Linked DNA regions of Callithrix jacchus. Each later gene encodes a partner of the first gene's protein in a complex. Links are inferred from orthologs where the notes say so. Each region holds a gene or a part of one and is shown in the gene's direction. Other genes may lie near its edges.

Region 1 (3,802 bases):
CTGGACTCAGTTAATTTTCCCATCTTGGGGTTTACTGCATTCTTTTTACTTTTTCTTTTTTTTTTTTTGAGATGGGAGTCTTGCTCTGTCACCCAGGCTGGAGTGCAGTGGTGCGATCTCAGCTCTCTGCAGTCTCCGTCTCCCAGGTTCAAGTGATTCTCCTGCTTCAGCTTCCCAAATAGTTGGGACTACAGGCAAGAGCCACCATGCCCAGCTAATTTTTGTATTTTTAGTAGACACCGGGTTTCACTATCTTGGCCAGGCTGTTCTTGAACTCCTGACCTCGTGATCTACCCACCTCAGCCTCCTGAAGTGCTGGGATTACAGATGTGAGCCACCATGCCCAGCCTTTGCATTCTTTATCTCTCTTTTTTTTTTTTTCTGAGACCGAGTCTCTCTTCACCTCCTGGGTTCGAGCAATTCTCCTGCCTCAGCCTCCTGAGCAGCTGGCATTACAGGTACCTGCCACTACTCCTGGCTATTTTTTTGTATTTTTATTTATTCATTTTGTTCCTTATTCTAATTTTTTGTATTTTTAATAGACACAGAGTTTCATCCTGTTGGCCAAGCTGGTCTCGAACTCCTGACCTCGTGATTCTCTTGCCTTGGCCTCCCAAAGTGCTAGGATTACAGGTGTGAGCCACCACGCCCAGCCTTGCTTTCTTTATCTCTTACCTTCCCTGAGCCATCTTGTGCCTGAAGACAGATCATGGCCACTGAAGGTGCTCTATAACACTTGTTGAATAAGGGATTCTATTGCTTCTTTCCCTCCAATTCCCATTTTCCCTCCACCTGCTACTCTGTTATCCACTGGCTCTGCCCATCCATGTGTACACAGGCCTGACACCTCAGACAAGGTGGTTCGTGAGGGATGCCCGAATAGCTTACCTTGCCTCCTCTGTTTCCGTCTTTGCTCCATGTCTTCTGAGTCAGTATAAGCTGCTGGTTATTAATAAGTGACCCTGAGTCAGAGTGTTTGGATTCAAGCTCCACTCCTGCCTCATCAACGGATTCAAGCATGTTTCCTTAGCTCTTTAAGGAAAAGCTCTTCATCTGTTAAACCAGGGTGTGATAGGAGCACCTACCTCCTAGGGTTGTCACAAGGATTACAGGAGGCCACGTACACTGGGCCTGGACTACAGTAAGTGCTCAGTACCCTTGACCCAGAGTTACTATTTTTTCATGTCAATCGATGCACAATCTTACTTCTTCTACCTACTGTCTTGGCCAGCATCTGTCAGTGTGTCTGTCTGCTGGGGAGATGCAGGGAGAAGACTGTCAATTGATCTTGCTCCCTGAAATGGATCAGCTGCCTCCAGCTTTGTGTACTGTCCTCTTCTCTCTGCTTTTCCCCAGGGCTCCCTGTGCCTCTACTTGACCCGACACACTAGTGACTGGGGAAGTTCCCTGCGGATGGCACTGTCCCTGGCCCAGGGCCTGGCATTTCTCCATGAGGAGCGCTGGCAGAATGGTGGGTGAGCTGGGAATAGGGAGTCAAGGGAGCCACACTGCTATGTTTCTGATTCTCTCTTAGTTTGGAGGGGAAGGATTGGGTCAAAAGAGAGACAAATAAGATCCATGTTCTTCCAACCTTGGAATTCCCCCACAGGCCAGTATAAACCAGGTATTGCCCACCGAGATCTGAGCAGCCAGAATGTGCTCATTCGGGAAGATGGATCCTGTGCCATTGGAGACCTGGGCCTTGCCATGGTGCTTCCTGGCCTCACTCAGCCCCCTGGCTGGACCCCTACTCAACCACAAGGCCCAGCTGCCATCATGGAAGTGAGTTCTCCGGATAACCGGTGAGGCCCAGGATGATGGTGGTGCTGCTGATGGCAGTGCTGCTGTTGTGTGTTAATAGTTGTAGCAATGCCTGCAGCATTTGAGACACTGCTGAGTCTGTGGTTGCGGGGATATTGCATGGACCATTGCTGCAATGAGGGTTGCCACAGAGATGATTCTTGGCCCTTTGTGCCTTGCTCTTCAGGCTGGCACCCAGAGATACATGGCACCAGAGCTCTTAGACAAGACTCTGGACCTACAGGATTGGGGCATGGCCCTCCGACGAGCTGATATTTACTCTTTGGCTCTGCTCCTGTGGGAGATCCTGAGCCGCTGCCCAGATTTGAGGCCTGGTAAGGATGGGTGGTACCATTCCCCTCCCTGGGTACTCCCTGCCCATTCTAGGTTCACCCCAACATGACCTGGTCCCAAGAAAGCTCTGCTCTTCCCCCTCTTGGCTTTTCTACATGGTAGGCACCCCTAGGGCTAACTGACACCCATCCCCTCTACCTTTCTCCAGACAGCAGACCACCACCCTTCCAATTGGCCTATGAGGCAGAATTGGGCAGTACCCCCACCTCCGATGAGCTATGGGCCTTGGCAGTTCAGGAGAGGAGGCGTCCCTACATCCCATCCACGTGGCGCTGCTTTGCCACAGTAAGAGGCCCAGGCTGTTGGGCTGGGGACCTGGGGAGTGGGGGCTGGGCATGGGCTTCAAGAATGTCTCTGCCAGGGCCAGTCTGTCTATTCATATCTCCTCTAATCTCCCATCACTCCTTGTTCAGGCTTAGCTGGAACTGGGCAAACTTGCTCTCTCCCTCAGTTCATCTTCTTCCACTCTAAGTCTCACACAGTCCGTTCCATCTACCTGAGACACACACCTTCCTCCTGCTCAGCCTTGCCTAGCCTGCTCTTCTCTCTACCATCAGTTAGCTCTGTTCCTTAGTCCCCTCCTCCAGGAAGCCCTCTTTGGCTTTGTTCTTGCTCTGAGCTCTGCCCTGTCCACTCTCCTGTCAATTCAACAAGTCCCCATTCTGTCATGCATTGATAATGTTTCTGCTGTGACCCAATAAAAGGCAGTTCTGGGTATAAAGGGTGAAAGCAGTGGCCTCACAGTGAAAATTCCAGACTTTGCATCAATACTTTTTTTTTTTTCTTTTGAGACAGAGTTTCACTCTTGTTACTCAGGCTGGAGTGCAATGGCGTGATCTCGGCTCACCACAACCTCCACCTCCTGGGTTCAGGCAATTCTCCTGCCTCAGCCTCCTGAGTAGCTGGGATTACAGGCACGCGCCACCATGCCCAGCTAATTTTTTGTATTTTTAGTAGAGACAGGATTTCACCATGTCGACCAGGATGGTCTCGATCTCTTGACCTCGTGATCCACCCGCCTCGGCCTCCCAAAGTGCTGGGATTATAGGCATGAGCCACCACGCCCGGCGCATCAATACTTTTTTAACAGAATGTCCCTTCTCTTGCTATCTGATCTGAACTTTCCACTGCACAAGTCAGGTAGGTTAGCTAACAGAAACCAGGCATTACTTGCAGAAGACTCTGGTTCTCTGAGCAGAAAGAGAGTAATTTCCCATTAGCATATTAAGCTGTCAATCTATATTAGCTCCTCAGAGGAAATGGTGGGCTGTATGGAAGGGCCCCAGAGAGCCTGTTTCATAGAGAACAAGACTCAGAGGCCTGGAGTTTAGCAAGAGGGAGAGGAGGGAGGCTCCAGGAAAATCGGAAATGGAGTGTTGAAAACAGGAGAGTGATGGACATTGAAGATGCCTTTTAACCCTGAGGCCCACTCAAGCTCCCTAGGATCAACCCTCCCCCTGTCATTCCTCCCAGGACCCTGATGGGCTGAGGGAGCTCCTAGAAGACTGTTGGGATGCAGACCCAGAAGCACGGCTGACAGCTGAGTGTGTACAGCAGCGTCTGGCTGCCCTGGCCCATCCTCAGGAGAGCCATCCCTTCCCAGAGGGCTGTCCACATGGCTGCCCATATCTCTGCCCAGAAGACTGTA
Region 2 (3,902 bases), on another chromosome or scaffold:
CCACCCATGCCCCCCACAGGGCCTGCGCCCTCAGGGCCCCCAGGACCACCTCAACTGCCCCCGCCAGCTCCAGGGGTCCACCCCCCGGCCCCAGTGGTGCACCCCCCCACATCTGGGGTCCATCCCCCAGCTCCTGGGGTCCATCCCCCAGCTCCTGGCGTCCATCCCCCAGCCCCTGTGGTGCACCCACCAACCTCTGGGGTCCATCCCCCAGGCCCTGTGGTCCACCCTCCAGCCCCCGGGGTTCACCCACCTGCCCCCGGGGTTCACCCACCAGCCCCCGGAGTCCACCCACCAGCCCCGGGGGTCCACCCTCCCCCAGCAGCAGTTCACCCCCAGGCCCCAGGGGTGCACCCAGCAGCCCCGGCCGTTCACCCTCAGGCCCCGGGGGTGCACCCACCAGCCCCGGGGGTGCACCCACCAGCCCCAGGGATGCACCCTCAGGCCCCAGGGGTCCACCCCCAACCTCCCGGGGTCCATCCATCAGCTCCTGGGGTCCACCCTCAGCCTCCTGGAGTTCACCCCTCAAATCCTGGGGTACACCCCCCAACTCCCATGCCCCCAATGCTGAGGCCCCCACTCCCCTCTGAAGGCCCAGGGAACATACCTCCCCCTCCCCCAGCCAACTGAGAAGCTGCTCCCTTCCCAGCAAGCCCGGCCCAGGTGCTCCTGCCTTTCCCAGGGAGGGAAGGCTGCTCTTTGTAACTGTCCCCACTCATTAAACCGCCTCCCCCAGCCCTGAGTGCCCGGATTCTGCAGCGCCGCCCTCCGTGTGAATGCCGTGTGGGAGTGCCAGGCAGGGCACCATCCCAAGTTTGGGCGACTGGGGAGGGCTTGGGGCCCACCAGGAGACACCCATGGGAGCCTGAGAGGCAGCTGTGCCCTGGAGGTGGCCTGGTGGAGGACAGACCCCACCAGTCGGCTAGGAGTATGTCTGGGGTCATGTCCTGGGGAAGGAAGAGCAGCCTCCAGGATACCCTTGTGGTCTCCAGATAGCCCAGTAGGGGTGGGGAGGGTGAACCGGACAGGGAGCCCCTGCCCTTGGGGTCTCCAGATAGCCCACTAGGGGTGGGGAGGGTGAACAGGGGACAGGGAGCCCCTGCTGACTTGGGACCCTCCTCGACGCCCAGCACCCGGGACATCTGGTTCCCCACCACCACCACTGTAGTCTGGCTGCACTCCTGTGCCTTCTGGGGACGGGCCCTCAAGGACAGCCTGTTGACACATTAGGCCCAGTTCTATCACTGCCGGGGAGGGAGATAGGCTGCCGGCGACAAAGGCATCTTTGAGAAGGCCACTTTGCCTGGAGTGTGGGCGCCCGGCAGTGTCCCCCAAGGTCGCGGCAGAGGAGATAAGGGCCCGTCCGCCTGCACAAACACCCACCTTCCGCTTGGCCCACTTAAGGCGGGCAGCCCAGCCCCTCACATCACCCACAATGGGGGGCACGCCTCTCACCCGCCTGGCCCTGGTGCTGTCTGCCCTGGGGGCTCTGCTAGGGACTGAGACCCTTGGAGCAGAGGAGCCAGCTGTGGCCACTGGTGGCCTCATCTTTGAAGAGGTGGACTGGCCGCAAGGCAGCCCCCAAGAACCTCTGTGCCTAGTGGCACTGGGTGGGGACAGCAATGGCAGCGGCACCCCCCTGCGGGTGGTGGGGACTTTGAGAAGCTATGAGCAGGCCTTCCTGGGAGCCGTGCAGCGGGCCCGCTGGGGCCCCCAAGACCTGGCCACATTTGGGGTCTGCAGCCCCGGAGACAGGCAGGCTGCCCTGCTCTCTCTGCAGCGGCTGGGGGCCTGGCTTCGGGGACCTGGGGGGCAGCGCCTGGTGGTCCTGCACCTGGAGGAAGGTACGTGGGGCCCAGCCCTGAGCTTGGCACCGCCAGCCTTCTGGTGGTGGTCCTAGGGAAGATTGGGGGCTGGCAGAGCCCCCACCCCGGACCAGGAGGCTGTGGTCTTGCTCCTGGGTCTGGGCTGTGGATCTGTGGCCTGGGAGGTGGGCACCACTCTGTCCTGTCCCTGAAGCCCAGTTCTCAGACCTGTGCCTGCCACAGTGCCAGAGAGACAGGTGTGCCCATCTTGCCACCCATGAAGAAGAAGCACAGGGACCTTCCTCCCCATAGCCCCATACCCAGGTAGCCTGTTCTTAGGGCCACTACCCTGGGAGACTCCCTAAGGGGAAAGGACTTCATTGGGAGCCCCAACCCAGAGACCATGGGGGGCAGCCCCATCCACAGCCTCAGACTCGGCACCTGCCCGCCCGGTTGTCACCGCTCCCTGGCTGCAAGAAGCCAGTGAAGAGAGTCACCCTCGTGCCCCCTCGAGGTCCCCTGCACAGCAGCCAGGGCAGGGATGGACCCCAAAGGCCCCCAGAGGGATGTGGGAGGCTCCTGGCCTTCAATGGCTCAGGTGTTCCCTGCTGTCCCGGCTGCAGTGACATGGGAGCCGACACCCTCGCTCAGGTTCCAGGAGCCCCCGCCTGGAGGAGCTGGCCCCCCGGAGCTGGCGCTGCTGGTGCTGTACCCTGGGCCTGGCCCCGAGGTCACTGTGATGAGGGCTGGGCTGCTGGGTTCCCAGGTACCAGGGAGTTTCATGGGGCAGTTCCGCAGCGCAGCAGGGGTGTGGATATGTTGCCGGGTCTGCGGTGCTGAGAGCAACTTAGAGCCAGTGGCGATGGGAGGAAGGGGTAAGCCTCCACCCAGCCGGGCTGAGCCCTGCTCTCCGCAGAGCCTCTGCCCGTCCCGAGACACCCACTACCTGGTGCTGGCGGTGGACCGCCCCGCGGGAGCCTGGCGCGGCTCCGGGCTGGCCTTGACCCTGCAGCCTCGAGGAGAGGGTAGGTCCGGGTGGAGAGGGACCGGGCGCTAGGTCGGCTGCCCCCGGCCCCCAGCCTCTGAGCCAGCCCCGGCCCCCCCACCGCAGGCGCCCCCCTGAGTACGGCCCGGCTGAAGGCGCTGCTATTCGGCGACGACCGCCGCTGCTTCACGCGGATGACCCCGGCCCTGCTCCTGCTGCCGCGGTCCGAGCCCGCGCCGCTGCCCGCACACGGCCAGCTGGACACCGTGCCCCTCCCTGCACCCAGGGGCGCGCAGGCCCGGGGGCATGGGGCAGGAGCAGGCGGGGGCGGCGTGGCCTCGCGCCCGCCCCCAACTCTCCCCACTGCGGGTTCCAGGCCATCCGCGGAGCTCGAGGAGTCGCCGCCCAGCGCAGACCCCTTCCTGGAGACGCTCACGCGCCTGGTGCGGGCGCTGCGGGGCTCCCCGGCCCGGGCCTCGACGCCGCGCCTGGCCCTGGACCCGGATGCGCTGTCCGGCTTCCCGCAGGGTCTGGTCAACCTGTCGGACCCCGCGGAGCTGGAGCGCCTGCTCGACGGCGAGGAGCCGCTGCTGCTGCTGCTGCCGCCCGCCGCGGCCACCGCCTCCGGGGACCCCGCGCCCCTGCAGGAACCCGCGTCGGCGCCGTGGGCCACGGCCCTGGTGCGCCGCGTGACTGCCGAGCTGCAGGCGGCGGCTGCCGAGCTGCGCGGCCTCCCGGGTCTGCCTCCGGCCGCAGCCCCGCTGCTGGCGCGCCTTCTCGCGCTCTGCCCAGGCGGCCCCGGCGGACCCCTGCGAGCGCTGCTGCTCCTGAAGGCGCTGCAGGGGCTGCGCGCGGAGTGGCGCGGCTGGGATCCGCGCGGGCCGGGGCGGGCGCAGCGCAGCGCGGGGGCCACCGCCGCCGACGGGCCGTGCGCGCTGCACGAGCTCAGCGTGGACCTCCGCGCCGAGCCTTCCGTCCTCATCCCCGAGACCTACCAGGCCAACAACTGCCAGGGCGCGTGCGGCTGGCCGCAGTCCGACCGCAACCCGCGCTACGGCAACCACGTGGTGCTGCTGCTGAAGATGCAGGCCCGCGGGGCCGCCTTGGGGCGC

What was found.
Region 2: the proteins of AMHR2 (region 1) and AMH are in contact, whole or in part, in a crystal structure (PDB 7L0J), measured with the Homo sapiens proteins. The link is inferred for Callithrix jacchus from reciprocal best matches to the Homo sapiens genes AMHR2 and AMH. Residues at the interface, in NP_065434.1 of Homo sapiens: Gly31, Val32, Arg33, Gly34, Ser35, Thr36, Thr38, Leu39, Phe62, Ile64, Glu75, Met76, Arg80, Asp81, Ser82, Glu84, Pro85, Ser95, Arg97, Ala98, Pro100, Ser101, Leu106, Thr108; in NP_000470.3 of Homo sapiens: Leu471, Arg472, Glu474, Val477, Leu478, Ile479, Pro480, Glu481, Thr482, Tyr483, Gln484, Lys534, Leu535, Ile537, Leu539, Glu542, Arg543, Ile544, Ser545, Ala546.

The regions. Positions count from the first base shown.
Region 1 is NC_133510.1:66,118,991-66,122,792, reverse strand, and holds part of AMHR2 (anti-Muellerian hormone type-2 receptor), read left to right. Parts: intron 1-1,356; coding exon 1,357-1,471; intron 1,472-1,609; coding exon 1,610-1,782; intron 1,783-1,987; coding exon 1,988-2,135; intron 2,136-2,302; coding exon 2,303-2,439; intron 2,440-3,627; coding exon 3,628-3,802. UniProt on the Homo sapiens protein: On ligand binding, forms a receptor complex consisting of two type II and two type I transmembrane serine/threonine kinases.
Region 2 is NC_133523.1:2,130,690-2,134,591, forward strand, and holds the start of AMH (muellerian-inhibiting factor), read left to right. Parts: upstream 1-1,425; 5' UTR 1,426-1,435; coding exon 1,436-1,844; intron 1,845-2,428; coding exon 2,429-2,830; intron 2,831-2,916; coding exon 2,917-3,902. Other genes in the region: SF3A2 (splicing factor 3A subunit 2), read left to right, coding at 1-630. UniProt on the Homo sapiens protein: Plays an important role in several reproductive functions. Induces Muellerian duct regression during male fetal sexual differentiation. Also plays a role in Leydig cell differentiation and function.